Zea mays: one gene and its partner. The protein of the gene in region 1 interacts with the protein of each later gene in a pairwise test. Links are inferred from orthologs where the notes say so. Each region holds a gene or a part of one and is shown on either strand. Other genes may lie near its edges.

Region 1 (3,953 bases):
TTGATCAAGTAGCATCCAGTTATCGTGTTGATGTTTTGAGTTCCTATTAGTTGTCCTTGTGCACGTGTTTGATTTGCTTCTTTGTAATGATTGTAGGTGTATTGTGTGACTTATGTCCACAATGCCATATGTTTACTAGGTAAAACCTTAGATAGTTGTGTTTTTTGTGCTCTCTGTACCTTATCTTTTGCTCAATATTTTCATATCCTCCTTCCTACCTATAGTCTCTGGATAGACAACGTTGCGTCGTGCCAGAATTGTCCATTCTGCCAACGAAGCAGGTAGTGCTAGGGCGGACGTGCCACCATTGGGGCTGTCCACGTTGTTAGGCTACTCACAATGGGGATTTCATGTCTCTGTTTCCAAAAATGCCACTTCAGATTTATGGATGAATGAAATACCCTCTCTCAATAGAGAGTTTCATCTCACTATTTCATATGTCAACATACTTCTTAAATGCTGCATATAAATAACCAATAGGATTTACTCAATTATATGAAGATGAAACAAAACACTCTCAATGGAGGTTTCACACAGTTTCCAAGATCTTGGAAACGAGTTAACATGGTTTCATCCCCATGAAACTCCATGAAACTCTTCCTTCTTAAATGATGTGACATGTCATCAAAATAGCTGATGTGACAGGCTAATTAATACATGAAACACCCCATGAAACCTCCATTGTGAATAGCCTTACGGAGCTGGGGAGCGAATGGTCAACATATAAAGGTGAGTAATTTTCATTAATAATTAAAAATCAATGGAAAAAGAATAAAAATAAGTGATAGGTGAGTAATTTTCATTAATAATTAAAAATCAAAATCAGGTAGAAATAGTAGTAAAATTGCTACCAACTTTGTAGTAGGTAAAAACTGCTTTAGCTGTGTATTTTGATAAAAACCAATACCTTTAGTTGGCTTTTGTTTTTTTTAAAATTAAATGTTAGTTTTTACGTAAAAAACCATATGCTATGCAAACTTATTCGTTGTAGCCCCTTAAATTTATGTGCTGTAGGCACACATGGATATGGATCTGCAGCTTATAAATATAAGGAACTACAACGAAATATTTGTATCCTATATGCATTGTTTTTTCGTTTAAAAACTGCACAAGAAGCCTCTTAGCCTCAAACCGCCAAGAATGGAATGGATAGATCTGCAGCAACCCCTCCCAGAACCTCTGACTTTGCTTCCCATCGCTTCGTTTCCAAGAGGAGAATGTTTCTCTCCCTTGCCCAGTCGCCTGCCTGCGCCGTCGTCTCCTTCCCATGGAGGTCCTCGTCCCAACTCATCCCACGGGTCCCCTCCCGCTGCACCCTCGCATGCCACGCAGCGGTGCCCAAAGTGCCCCTCCCCATCGCCTCGCCGGCCTCCCTCGGGGACGACCCTAGCAAGTGGGACCCCGCCGAGTGCGACGCTCTCCTCCGCGGCGGGGAGCAGGTCGCCTCCGTGCTGCAGGAGATGGTCACGCTGGTCAGGATGCCCTTCCACCGTTTCTTGGGTTGCTTCACTGAATCACTGACGGAGATTACTAGTATGAATTTTTGAAATGAACACAGTGCTTCATAAAATTGCGCAGTTTTTCGGATTTTCAAACTTATTAGGTCGTTATTTATATTATAAAAAAGGTTAAGCTGTTCCGCAATGAACTGTTCCACTAGTTTCTTTCGTTGCCAGGTAGTATGCTAGTGGAGTTTGGCCCTCTTGGACTAATTGGCAAAGAGTTGTGAACGCTTAGCCCATGGCTACGGCTTAGCCCATCGTCAATTTATCCTCCATTTTCTTTCCTCTACGGCTTATTAGTTTGTTCTATATTATAATTCGCACTAAAATGGTTCAAAAACTACCATTTGGGAGTCTTGAATGCTGAATGTGGTAAACTGTTAATCTCATGTAGTTGTGCAGAATATAACCGTTATTCATGTGGTCTGACTAAATGCCTCTACCTTATAATTGTATTACTGATATTGTTCTTGTATGTGATTTTCTATTGGTGTTTGTAGATGGAGGACATGGAGATGGATGGTGCATTTGAGCAGGTTGCTGTGGAGCTGGTGGCACAAGGAGTTATTGGGAAGAGGGTGGATGAGATGGAGTCAGGTTTTCTTATGGCACTTGATTACATGATACAACTTGCACAGAAGGACACAGATGATGAGGTACTTGGTAGTCATTGCCTAACTCCACCAAGTACCTGTTTGCATAACAGCTTATTTATTCTTCACTAGGCGTTACCACTCATTTGCCTATCTTTACTAAAAAGCATAATTGAGCTATGTATTTTTCTTTTGCCACATTGTAACTATTTTTATACCAATAAAGCATATCGATGTTTCTTCAACTTTAACAGAGAAATTAAATATTATTACTAGTGTATCCAAACTTGTTTATATTTATTCATGTTAAAGCTAGTGCTAGTTACTTAGAGAAGATGCATAAATTAAAAGGACCTGTGAGATTGCTGTGTTGATGTGATAACTGTAAAATCCATGTATGCTTTGAGACATTGTTGACAGACTGGAGTGCTTACTAAATCCTGCTATATGCATATTTCCCCTTAGTTTATTCTACATGTTTTACATGCTTGTCTTATGATGGCAGCGTAAGTCTATTCTTGAGGTAATTAAGCAGACAGTGCTAGACCATCTGACGAAGAAATGTCCTCCACATGTAAGTGTTATTTCAAGTGTCCAGTGTTATCTGTGCATATATGTGTGTATGGATGTGGGCATGTTTGTGTCTTCTGACTGGTATTGTTGTATTTTACAAATCAGGTCCAGGTTGTTGGGCTACTTTGCCAGACTGAAAAGAAAGAGAGCAGACATGAATTGTTGCGCCGCGTAGCTGCTGGTGGAGGTGTTTTTAAGAACGATAAAGGTCTTAAGTGCCAAATTCCTGGGGCAAATCTTAATGACATTGCAAATCAGGCAGATGATCTAGTAGAGGTAAGTTGAAAAGCATGAGTACACATATCCTTTACTGATGGCCTTCCATGGAATAACACAATCTTCATAACCTGATTCTTTGCAATGGAACATTTTCTTTTTTGTAAGCACGTTTAATGATAAGTTGCTAGGAGAGTAAAACCTAATTACAATGTAGACTTGGTCACTCGGACACTCAACACACACGCACACGCACCCACGCACGCACGCCGTTTATTTATAGAGGGATGGACCAAACACTAAAAGTGTCCTCTAGTCATAGGAAACATTTGGACTGTTACTTTTGTGTTCTAAACAACCTCAAATTACAAACATAGAATGCTAGGGCTGCCTCACTATTTTATTATTTTATCTCACACTGCTTAAAATAGATCATCAGACCTAGAATGGTGGTGTGTCTAGTTAGAATTGCAAAGCCTAAAGTATGTTTGAAACTCCCAAATGGACGAGACAAAATGCTACTGGTGACATTCCATATCACTTTGCTTCTTGGAGATGATAATAGTAGGCTGATAACTTTTGGAAAAGAACTGCTTGTAGTAGTTAATTATTGTTGTTTTCATCTTGAATAATTTTTATGAATCTTCTAACGTCTTGGTTGTTGTTATAGTCAATGGAATCTAGGGACACCATTCCTGATCGAAAACTTCTTGCAAGATTAGTTATAGTAAGAGAAGAAGCTCGGAATATGATGGGAGGTGGCCTGTTAGATGAGAGAAATGATCGTGGTTTGACTACCCTCCCTGAGGCAGAGGTACTTTTAAACTTGGAAATCTTAATGTGACATGCATGGTAGATGTGTATTCCATGACTAATTGCAAAATATCCTTTTATAAGGGTCTTCAGTCTCTTTGGATTGCATATACATATGGTTGTTGAGATGTGATGGAGGAAGGGACATCATCAATTTGCTTGTCCACATACATCTCAGTGTCTAATATTATTTAGCAATTGGATGTTTAACAACTACATCAACTTTTCCATTTTATCACTGTGAGGAGTAAATATC
Region 2 (4,293 bases), on another chromosome or scaffold:
AAAGTATATGCTAATAACTACTGCAAAGACCACGGATATGTCTCAGTCAGCATCTTGCTACGTGAAGGACAGTGATTAGCATGCCGGACGGGGAACAAAAGCAACCACGTCAGTGGTGGTTAGCCAGCAAAGCTTGCTAGCTAGCTAGTCGCTGCAGCGCTGCTGCAGAGTGCAGAGGCCGCCAATGCACGCTCGAGAAACAGCTCAAAGGCTGAGTGAGCTGTGAGCTCACCAGCAGTGGACGTACACAACACTGTTCTGACCCTGACATGTGTTTGAAATAATAAACGGTGGGATAGAGACGTGCAGTTGTTAGGCCACAATTTACTCAGGTGACAGGATGATCTGCAGCTGGCTCCAGGCAACATTTACACTGCCGTGCATGACCTACTCCAGTATGAGCAGAAGAAAAGGAGTTAATTCCTCCAGTTCCTTACTTGACCAGTTAATACTACGACAGAGCAGTGAGTAACCACCCGAGTTTAACCCACACAGTAGATTTCACTGTAAAAAATGTACTAGCCTCTGTATTGTCCATCAACCTTCAGTCCAAGGTCAATCCGGACCAAGCGGCATGGATTCATGGCGACGCCGCTATCAATCAGCATCCACCCACACCCCCACACATACACATGGAGACAAAGGTGTGGGCACTACGAGCGAGCACGCGCGCGCTGGTTTCTCGCGCGCTTGTCTTGTTGCTGGAGCCAGCCAGGTCGCCGTCGGCCATTAACGTGGCGCATGAACCAGGACGAAGCTAAAATCTGCCAGGTTTAAATGCCCGACCTAATACTCCTCTCTACCCCAGCGAAAAGCTAGAAACCAAGGCGAGGGAATGTGAGGCAAAACTCTGAGTCAATGCGACCTTGATGACGCGCGGGACCAAGCCCTAATAATCCGCGCTCCGGCGCCTTGCTAACGCCGGGTTAGAGACGGCGGTGCTACTCCCCCATGCGTCCCGTCGCCGAGGTTGTGGATGGTTGAAAAAAAGAGCGGCGGGGAAGGTGAGTGATTTGGCTCCTGTACTGTACTGTATGTAAAAAAAAGGAGGGCGGTGCTGTGAAGGAGACAAGACCAGATTTTGACAGAGAAAGAGAGAGAGAGGGGGGGGGGGGGGGGGGGGGGGGGTAGTGATGCCCTACACACAATCATGAGATGGCCAAGTGGTGTTGTTGAGGATTGGTTGGTTCTACGAAATCTACGTCTAATCAAAGCATGGTGAAACCATGATGAGGAAACATAGCCCCAACAATGCGGACAGCAACGTGTCGACGCCAGATCAGTGTGGTGGTACCCTACGACATATATGTAGTACAAGGGTAGGATGGGACTTGTTGGATCTGCGTAGGGCTTGCTTGGAGTGGACTGCTGGATGTGAACTTTACAGTATCATATAGGAATAGGAGTAGCGATTCTCTTCTCTTTTTCCCCCCCCCCAAAGGTTTCTTCATCATTTTCGCATGCTGCAGATCCTTGCTCGATCTTAATTGGTTAATACTCCAAAGGGCATCCAGGGGAGATGAGATCAAGCTGGACAATGGTGGGTGAAGAAAACATGGCGTTGACGACCGGGAAGATTTCTGAAGAACCATGGCACCAAACTAACTAGTAACTATTCTGACAGACCAAAACGAGTTCAGGACCGCCGCCGCACACCTGAAGCCGAACGAGAAGAATTCACGTACGAGGCAGACGACCGACGGTTCTCGCCGACGAACAGGAGGAAATAAATAGGGGGGCCGCAGGACATGAACTAAATAGCCAAATTTTTGGGAACGAAATCGACGACACAATCTCCTGCTGCTCGCCTTTCAAAAAAAGAAATTCTCCTGCTCACGCGCACATACCACGAAATAAAGAACGAGAGAGAAAAATAGAAGAAAAAAAACCGGGGACACATCACATTCAGCGGCTGCACCCGCGCGCTTCCTCTGGTAAAATAAAAGACCCGGAAACTGAGGAACAATCCTTGTCACAAATCAACATCTCTACCACAGTACTGCTACTGCTACTATGTAGGAGGTGCCGTAAAAAACAACCCGAATGCAAGAAGACATGCTAAACCAGATCAGACTGCCACTACTGCTACTCCTCCCCAATAATCCACACAACCAGAGACGAACGAACGAGTGAACTAATACGTGCGCGTTGATAGTAAAGCTAGGAAACGAAGAACTTACAGAGGCACGGCCTACACCATCCTGGCAGAGACCTTGGCGTCCCTCGGCTGAGAGGCAAGGCAGCAGGAGCGGGAGAGGGGAGGGGGGAGGAAGGACGGACGGAAGGAGCGGGAGCACAAATAATTGTGTGAGGTTGAAGACGACGAGCGAGCGAGGGGACCTGGCGAGCAGTAGCAGTAGGAGGAGAAGGGAGGGAGGGAGGGAGGGATAGGGAGGTGTGAGCTGAAAGATTCCTTTCCACGGCCTCTCTCACAGCCCGTGAGCGAGCGAGCGAGCTTGTGTGTATGTGTTTGTATGTATAGGAGGAGAGAGCACCAGCGGCGGAGGGAGGGAGGTGTGGGGGACAAGGCGCAGCGAGAAATTAGGGCACGCGGAAAGGAAAAGACGGGGGCGCGGGCGGGAGGAAAAGGGATGCCCGGAAAGGGGGCGCGCGTGTATATATAGACAGGGACACAGGGTCAGGGTCTCAGCGAGCCGGAGCGGTAGAGAGCGCGAGTGAGAGCGAGCTACTCGAAGCTGTAGAGCTACTAGGATGGAGTGGAGCAGGGGGGCGCAGCGCAGGTGAAGCACGGGCAACAGCGGCACGCAGCATGGCAATGGCAATGGCAATGGCATGAGCACAGGCACCCCCACACGAGACGAGAGACGGGACACGGCCACGCCTACACATGCAGCTCCAGCTGCAGCATGCACATGGAGGTGGAGGAGCGTGCTGGCTGGCGCAGTGGCAGCAGTATACAGTACGTGGTTGTGGGGGTGGGCCGGGGGTGCTTTCTCTGCTGCGAGCTGACTTCGCAGTACTGGCTTGCCCGGCCCTGGCCCTGGGCTGAGCACGCAGAGGCAGCGGGGGATGGAAGGAGAGAGAAGTTAAAGAAAAGAGAGAGAGAAGAGAAGAGAAGAGGCGAGACTGTTGGAGAGTTGATTGATGGGACGAGCGAGCGACATGGACGGACATGGCTCCGGCCTCTCTGGCGTGCGCGCGTGGGTGGGTGGATACGCGCCCCGAATCAAATTTTACGCAAAAAAATCAGATTCAAAGAAATAAACTCATTCCAGTCCTATACAATCTATCCGTTTGGGTTGAATTTGCAGCTTCTACTACTCCTTCAATGTTAATAGCTGGCTTTAATCGCTCCTTCAATATTAGTAGTAGTAGAGTGACGATCGATGGGATGGGGTGGGAAATGAAATGGCAGCATCTCTGGGGGGCTGGCCGGCGCGCGGGCGGGCGGTGGGAAAAGGCGCCGTACGTCGTCGGCGTCGCGTCTTGTCGTGGCAGCGAGCACAGCGCGCGTGGAAAGCGACGAAAAAGATGGGGAGCGAGCGTGGAGGAGGGCTTCCACGAGTCAAATCACGGCAGCATGGCCCCCGCGCCGCGCGGATTAGAGATCGCTTTTTTTTCCTTCTTCTTTTTTACTACTACTGCTCCTACTCAACAGGCACGCCTGAGTGAGTGCCCATGACGAGTAGCTAGCCTGTTCTGTGGCCAACAGTTACACAGGTCAAACTAGTATAATAACTGTGTGTGGTTATATCAGCTACTATTAGCATAATAATTAGATAAAAATAAATAACATATAGTATTGTTATTGATCTTAATATCTTACGATTTTTTTGTCAGCAATCAATACATTTTTACTTCTAAATTTTATATCAGCTATTCAGACTCTCCATCTCACTATTTATTTAATGTTGGGTGATTTTTCTTATCGGACTCTTCACACTACTTTGGGTACATGACATTCTTCAACATCATGGATGTAAGTCGTCCATATTGACACAACTGATTGACAAGAACAAGTTTTTGGCAGGACCAGGTTTTGGGCAAACATAAGGAAGTATTAAAAAGACCAAAGCGCTTAGGAACTTACTAATGTTTCTCTTCATCAGCCGAGTTTCTGGCCTTGGTGGCTAAGTACAACCGAGCAACCAATCCTCTATTAACGGATCTCTCATTGTCTATAGCCTTCTCAGACACAGACAAGAATTGCTTTTGAGCTCAGTGATCTTTGCTTATTCGACCAGGGCTGAGTCCTAGGTTTGGGCAAGAGAATCTAGCCTCTCGGTCAAGTCTTTGACTACCTCAAGTTTCTTACCTTGGGTCTTGAAAGCC

What was found. The genes of interacting proteins can lie anywhere in the genome.
Region 2: the proteins of Protein PEP-RELATED DEVELOPMENT ARRESTED 1 homolog, chloroplastic (region 1) and protein rough sheath 2 interact in binary tests that used the Arabidopsis thaliana proteins (3 or more experiments, as listed by UniProt). The link is inferred for Zea mays from reciprocal best matches to the Arabidopsis thaliana genes AT5G48470 and AS1.

Annotation. Positions count from the first base shown.
Region 1 is NC_050099.1:18,446,093-18,450,045, reverse strand, and holds the start of Protein PEP-RELATED DEVELOPMENT ARRESTED 1 homolog, chloroplastic, read left to right. Parts: upstream 1-1,142; 5' UTR 1,143-1,145; coding exon 1,146-1,472; intron 1,473-2,002; coding exon 2,003-2,158; intron 2,159-2,600; coding exon 2,601-2,669; intron 2,670-2,773; coding exon 2,774-2,944; intron 2,945-3,554; coding exon 3,555-3,698; intron 3,699-3,953. UniProt on the Arabidopsis thaliana protein: Plays an essential role in early steps of chloroplast development. May be involved in the redox control of plastid gene expression by maintening the redox state around chloroplast nucleoids.
Region 2 is NC_050096.1:158,673,991-158,678,283, forward strand, and holds the start of protein rough sheath 2, read right to left. Parts: upstream 2,810-4,293; 5' UTR 2,181-2,809; intron 1-2,180.